2 linked regions of the Oryzias latipes genome follow. The protein of the gene in region 1 interacts with the protein of each later gene in a pairwise test. Links are inferred from orthologs where the notes say so. Each region holds a gene or a part of one and is shown in the gene's direction. Other genes may lie near its edges.

Region 1 (3,082 bases):
CATTATCAAAGAAAGTTTTTTTTCATGATGAGCTGTGACCTTAATTTCAAAGAATTGAGTTAAATGAAAAGACTTTTTATTGCACTTTAGCATCTTGATTTCCTCCAAGTGGACCCAGCAGAGTAGAGACATGATGTGCACTTGTTTCTGAAACATCACATGAAAGGTCAAACAGAAAGTTGAACCACATTTTCTATTCATTTTAAGCATATTGGACGGTTTGTGAGCAGCTTTTTCAGATTTCATGGGTCATTATTTTATAGTCAGTTTTTCTCCACTGCTGCAGTTTCGCCATTTTCCATGCATACAAATTGATAAATTGAATACCATGAATCTGGGCTTAATAACCATGTTAGAAACATTTTTCATGTTGTACAGCAGCGTGGTTAAACCAACCTTTTATTAGTGCATTTTTCCTATAGGTGAACCATCAATGCTGAAGCAATACGCTGTTAGCTTACATTCTATCGAGCAGCAAAAACACAAAAAATCGTGGAGTTCTTGCAGACAAACGCCACACAAAATGCGGCCGCTGCAACCAACTGTTCTCCGTCACGTTTTCCTCTCGCCTTGCTGAAATCCAGACACCCCTTCTTTGCAGAAGAAAAAGCGGACGCCGCAGAAAACATCGCCACAGAAACGCAGGCTGGACCCAGACGTCGGGTCGGGGAGGAGGAACCCGTCCCGCAAGGCCCGTCCTCCTGAGAACTTTGCTGTCGAGGAAAAGAGCGAACCGGTTCTTCGCAGAAGCCACAGGGATGTAGACATCAAGAGGTTGATAGAGGTATGGCAAACACCTGGTGGTGATGTATCACTGCATTCATTTATTTAAAAAGCACCTTCCACCACCAGTCAAGGAGGCCCAAAGTGCTGCTGCACACAGGAAGAACAAACACAGAACATGAAGAATAAAAGGCAACTTAAAACAGAGATTAAAACTACCATAAGAACAGCTCTAGGCTTGATGCTAAAGCGCTGAAATGAACAATTCTTTTATAAAACTCTCCAAGAGTGTGACCTCTCTAACTGCCAGTGGCAGCTGATTCCATGGTTTACACCCCCTGAAACTCACGCTTGGTTCTGGGAACCATGAATACAAAGTGGTTAGCGGATCGTAAGGACTTAAGTTAGGGGGCAATATTTTAAAAGCAGACTGGAGAGGTAAGAAGGTGTCGTACCTGCCAGGGACCTAAAATAATAAAATAAATTGAGTAAAAAGCAGGTATTGCACTGGCAGCCCGTTCAAAGAGACCAAGACCAGCGTTGTGTGGTCAAACTTCTTTGCCCCACAAATTAATCTGGCTGCTGCAGCCTGACCATTGAAGCTTTGGGTAAGCCAGCATATCAAGAGCTGCAATAATTAAGTCTGGACAACACGAAGGCATTGGTGACAATTTCAAGGTTTGTTGTTGATTTAAAAGACTTAATCCTAGCCAGACGTCACATCTGAAAAAAGCAGGAGCCGGTCACAGCGTTTATTTGGAGGTTGAGCTTCAAGGTTGCATCAAGTTTAACACCCAGGTGTGTTAAACTTGACAGTTAAAAAGGGGCAAAAGAGTGGAGATTCAGACCATGATATTTTCCACCACTAGAGGTAAACACAATCACCTCAGCTTTCTTTTTATTAAGGGCAGTTAAGTTAGCCGACATCCACGACTTAACCTCCTGTTATGTCACGTTCATACCGGGCTGGAAAACTCGCCTTCATGTGAGCACTTCCATTGCAAAGTCTATGGAAACTCATGTATCTGAACATTTTAGGATTCTGCATTCAAACCTCTCATGTTCACGCATGGCTTTGCTGGTTCAAGAACCCGCTTCACATGGCCGGTGTGAACGTAGCCTTAGCTGTTTTGCCTGACATGCTGTGTTTCATTACCTGCTGCTGCTGGACAGGTGGATGAGGATCACGTCGGTGTCAAGCGGAGAAAGATCATGGGCCAGTTTTCCAGGAAGAGTGCGTACGTTGTGAAGTCCGTTGATGAGATCACCAAAGAGGATCTGGACAACATCGCGTTCCGCAGCAAAGATAAGATCTGGGACAAAGAGAACGTGAGGAATTCTGGGAACTTTTGACAGAGATATTTGTGGGTCTGATGGGATTTTCTTCACTTTCTCTGCTTTTTATTTTTATTTTCAGGGCAGCTCGTGCCACCAGTGCAGACAAAAGACTCTGGACACCAAAACAGTGTGTCGCAGTGGTTTCTGTGTGGGGGGCAAAGGTCAGTTCTGTGGACCGTGCCTAAAGAACAGATACGGAGAGGACGTGGGCTCTGTGCTGCTCAACCCGGTCAGTGTTCAAACAGGAAGGCCTTTCTCTCACATTACTCTCACATTAGGGAATGCCATAACCACATATATATTAAAGTTTTCAATCCTGCACAAAAGGACAGTACCACAAACATATAACTAGGTCAGGGGTCGGCAACCCAAAATGTTGAAAGAGCTAAATTGGACGAAAAAAACAAAAAACAAACATGTCTGGAGCCGCAAAATATTAAAAGCCCTATTTAAGCCTTATAATGAAGGCAACACATGCAATATGTATCTATATTAGCTATATTAGCCTACTATCAAAATGACTTAAGGCCCGTTCACACCGGGACAAATTTCGCCGGCGATTTTCGCCGACGTTTAACGCCTTCACATGTGGTGTTATTGAAAAGCCCCAAATATCCTCTACAGATAACAAAAGGAGTTTATTCAGTAGGAGATACGTTGTCCACAGCAGCGGTCCCCAATCCCCAGGCTGCGAACCCGTACCAGGCAGTTAATACTGGGTCGCAGAGTTAAAAAACAAACAAACTACAACCTACAATTTCTTCCATTTTTTTCCATTTATAATCTGAGTCTCAAAGAAGTTTTATTTTGGAAAACTACTGGGTTATCCCCACCACTTCAGACTCATTCTTGACACTTGCCAAGTCGCTCAATCCATTTGCTATTTTCTTAAAGCTGCTGCACCGACCGCTAACTTGAAACCCTTATCACAGTTAACAAAAAACAAAAACAAATGTATTTTAAAAAATTTGTTTTGGAGAAAAGAAGAAAAGATTTTGACTCGGAAGAAGAGATCTGCATT
Region 2 (4,326 bases), on another chromosome or scaffold:
GAGCCCTTGATGTTTGCCTCCTATGTCGACGAGGGTCATTTGGAGTATAATTTTTAAACTGTTGCAGTGAAATGGGATTGATGTTTTTGGTTGTTTTGCTATTTGTTTATATACCGCAAATGATATCGTTATCGCAATAGTAATCACCAACATCGCATATCGCGAGTTTTTCTCATATCGTGCAGCCCGACTCCCAAGTGCCTTTTCTTTTGTGTGGTCAGGCCACCAGTTTAAGCATTAAGGGATGTTATTGTGTGAAATTGTTTAAACTAGGGACTGTGCTCATATAATTTACCACGAATACAATTTTAAAAGATGACAAAAGGGAAAATCGTATTTATTTGTTTGTTTGCATTTTTTAAACACATCTTTGAACACAACGAAAGCTGTGCACAAAGTTAACTCATCTCTGGTGAATATCATAACTTTAGAAAATTCCGTGACACTATATGGAATGAGTAATATTTAGACTGAGGCCTAAAAGAAAAAAGACCAAATTTAATAAAAATCCATACTCACTTGTATGAAGTTATAAATCCTTTTTTTTATTTTTTAGATCTATCTGAATGTTCAAAATTTATACTGGAATATTTTTGTTGTGTTGTTTAAATGATCTAATACTTGATATTTCCTCGATATGCAATAGATAATAGATTCGCTTTTTTCAGTTATTTGCTGATCATTCTGGAAATATTTTGACATTTGAAAATTTTAGTTCTAAATTTCAATTATTTGATCGGAAACAATATGATGCTGTGAACAAAGCTCTTCCTCGGTCGTTGATCCAAGTATCACAAAATCTATTGTTAAACAAAGTTCAATTAAAACTTCCTTCACTCCTATTGGACGGACAGCCAGTTACAAAGACAGAACTAGCAAACAGCTTCATACGAAGATTGTTTGTGAAAGAAGTCTTCCAAACATCTCATCAGAAAAAAAGCATTTCTAAACACTTCTCTAAAGAAGAGGTCATTGATTTAAGGTCGAATTTCTTTACATTTTGTATTTTACCAAAAGTAAAAGACATTCATTTTAAAATAATTAGTGATGTTTACCCATCCAAGGAATTTTTGATACTTCGTTTTGGATTTGAAGAGAATGATTGCAGTTTTTGTTTAAAGGACATTGAGACAGTGGATCATTTATTCTTTAACTGTTTAACAGTTCTGCTTTTGGTATTCTTCCAAAATTCCAATGCCAGTTCATTTAGACGCAAAATGAGATAATGGAGTGTCGCGACATCAGGTTGCCATGACGACAGGCAGCCCTGCTTTACGGCAGGCATGTTTCTGGGTAGCTTGTAGTTAGCCGTGCAGCTAGTCGCACAGCCGCACTTTCCCCTCATTGCGTTCTAAGCAGACTGTGTTTTATTGTGAGAGTTCCCGGCTGGATAAATGGATGTTGGAGAACTTTTAAACTATCAGGTACGAAGATGTGTTTCTTTCTCAGCCTCCGGTCATTCATTCAAGATGTAGCAGCTGAGCTTCAGCTCCTGGCTACAGTTTTGAACTTCAGCTTGAGCTTCTAGTTCTTCTCGCTTTACTCTCTGTCTTTTGTTTTTTTTTTTAGTTAAAATTGTGATTATTGTTTTTATAAGTTTGTACATTATGTTGTTGGCGGAGCAAAATAATAAAGACTGCTCTGCATCTCGGTACACAGTTTTTAGCGCTAAAACTAAATTAGCTTGGTTTACTTCAGTGCTGCTGGCTGCAAATTTTTATTATTAACGATAAAAAAATCATTTAAACATTTGCATTAGGGGTTTATTAAAAGAAATAATATTGGGAGAAAACCAAAAATCCGGACTTGGTGTCAAATGTTTTTGGCTGCTGGATGGATGACGTTTCACTCAGTCATTCCCTAAAAGTTCTTAGAAATAATCTGTCATGTCATCCTTTAATATAAATGTGATTATTTTATGTAATAAAGTTCAAAAATCTTACTCCTGTGCTGTGTTTTTCATTTGCGTTTTGAAAAAGTACCAACAAGTTCCTATCATTAATGCTGAAAGCTGCTATGGCTGTTATCTTGTTATGGATTTTTACCTATTTCCTAATAATAATCATTACTCAGATGCCCTATTAAGCTCATTCTTCTTACTGTTTAAACAATTTAAGTAATATTAATTTACAGGTGAAGTAATCACATCATTTAAATTGTACTGGACTTTATTGACTTATTTTGCTGCAGCTTTTCCGAACAATTGTTTTCATACATTGGACATTCATCATTGCCTGTTCACCTGATATTTCTTCATCACGTTCAGTCGCTGTGCTCCTTATTGCATGTCACTGGTTTTCCACTCTTAGCCCGATAGAGGAGCAAAACGTCCCAGGGAGCAAGAAGGAAGAGCAGCAGGAGGAGACGATGATTCCAGAGGAGGGAAGCAGCAGAAGGGACTGGGATCCCGGGACCCGGCCAGACATCGGGAAGCTGGAGCGGGATCAGAGGGTCGTGCTGAACCGGGGGACGGCGAAGAGCAGACCGGGGACAAGAAGAGGATACTGGAAAAACTGATGGACCAGGATGAAGAAGAACCCGAGGTGGGAAAGCTGTTTTTATTTACTGGTCGTTTTTTTTCTTTCTTCCAAAAGGCTGTGTCTGTAGTTCAGACTTCTTCCTTTTTTTATCACAGAGACCATTTGATTCCTCTTTAGGTGGAAAAATGCTGTTTTGTTTGTAATTTAAAGCGAGTTATGCAGAGCTGCCTCTTTAGAGAGTGCAGGAATGATGCAGAAGTGATGAACATTTGCAATACGGCATACATTTGGAGGAGCTTAATGCTTTTGGTTCTTTTGCACTACTGTCTAAGCATAGATGAATAGTTGTGTCGTTGCCACGACTACTCAACTTCTGCTAACAACCACATGGTAAGAATTGGACAAAATGAGGGAAGGAAGTGACTGAGAAGAACTAATAAGTGTTAGAAGGTTCTTTCTCCTTATTTAAATGTTCATTGTGTCCATTTTTCAAGGTGCGAGGTGAAAACAATTATCAAAAACAAAAACGCATGTGTGCGAATGTAACCATCCTTTTGGTATTGATAACAGATAAAAATGAAGAGAGACCACGGTGATGAGTAAATGTTGGTAAACGTACCTGTTTTTTTTTTTTTTTTTTGTGGCATTAAAAGCCAGAAGGCGAAGCTCTTAAGTTAGGCCACGGTGGAAAATGCAGCTGCGTCAGAATTTCCAAAGGAGTAACACTAGAACCAGTGTTACCATATTGCAGTGCATTTGAAGACTGCACATTGATAATTCAGTTCATATTATCCCCACACTGCAGGCATTTTCAAAAATTTACTCTGTCAAGGGCCTCTCAGAGCTAATGGCTCCTCTTCTCCATAATGTCAGGCAGTTGAAATGTCCTAACCGGTCATTATCCGTCTAGCACTTTACAGCTTTTAAGCCTTCAGGAGGTCAAACGCATCCCCTTTTTCTGTAAAATGTACCCTAATTGATGCAAAAAAATGACTCCACTCACACGTTTAATGTCGCAGTGATGGCTCTTTGCTCCGGCAGCAGCTGCTTCGACCTAAAAAGCTTTTGCCCCCTTTTTCCTCCTCTATTTTCTTCACCACTGCCATGTCCTCTGATGTTCCACGGATCAAACAGGCCGAGCCGGTGGATGAAAGCACAGTGAAGAAAATGATCCTGACCTTTGAGAAAAGGTCATACAAAAACCAGGAACTGAGGATCAAGTTTCCTGACAATCCTGAGAAGTAAACATGCTTTTCCTTTATTATTTTTTACATCAAAGATTTTGTTTAAATGTTCTTTTTTTGGAAAACTATTAACTTTGTTTCCGAACCAGGTTCATGGAGTCGGAGCTGGATCTCAACGACATCATCCAGGAAATGCACGTGATCGCCACCATGCCGGATCTCTACCACCTGCTGGTGGAGCTCAATGCCGTCCACTCCCTGTTGGGCCTTCTAAGCCATGAAAACACAGATATCCTTCACATGGATTTTGACCTGCAAACTGGTTTATCTGGGGGCTGGAGCTCTATATAAAACATAATGCATCAGCGATTTTGGATTTGTTAGCTCTGATTAGAAAAACTCTAGAAAACCTGTTGTAGCAGTTAATAATATCTATCTTTAAGATAACATGAAAGCAACCAAACTAAGACTTTTGGGCTCACCCACATGTGTTATTATTGATATGATTTAGTTGTCTGTTTGGGGCGGGGCTGTTGTCGGTCAGTTTTATTGTCCTCAACCCAAAGCACATGTCGCCATCGCGGTGGTGGACCTGCTGCAGGAGCTGACAGACATCGACACACTCCATGAGAGCGAGGAGGGCGCTGAAGTGCTCATAGATG

What was found.
Region 2: the proteins of cdca7l (region 1) and ctnnbl1 interact in binary tests that used the Homo sapiens proteins (3 or more experiments, as listed by UniProt). The link is inferred for Oryzias latipes from reciprocal best matches to the Homo sapiens genes CDCA7L and CTNNBL1.

What each region holds. Positions count from the first base shown.
Region 1 is NC_019869.2:9,681,418-9,684,499, forward strand, and holds part of cdca7l (cell division cycle-associated 7-like protein), read left to right. Parts: intron 1-601; coding exon 602-784; intron 785-1,896; coding exon 1,897-2,052; intron 2,053-2,140; coding exon 2,141-2,290; intron 2,291-3,082. UniProt on the Homo sapiens protein: Plays a role in transcriptional regulation as a repressor that inhibits monoamine oxidase A (MAOA) activity and gene expression by binding to the promoter.
Region 2 is NC_019865.2:1,925,305-1,929,630, reverse strand, and holds the start of ctnnbl1 (beta-catenin-like protein 1), read left to right. Parts: upstream 1-1,256; 5' UTR 1,257-1,394; coding exon 1,395-1,424; intron 1,425-2,309; coding exon 2,310-2,543; intron 2,544-3,614; coding exon 3,615-3,721; intron 3,722-3,813; coding exon 3,814-3,953; intron 3,954-4,233; coding exon 4,234-4,326. UniProt on the Homo sapiens protein: Component of the PRP19-CDC5L complex that forms an integral part of the spliceosome and is required for activating pre-mRNA splicing.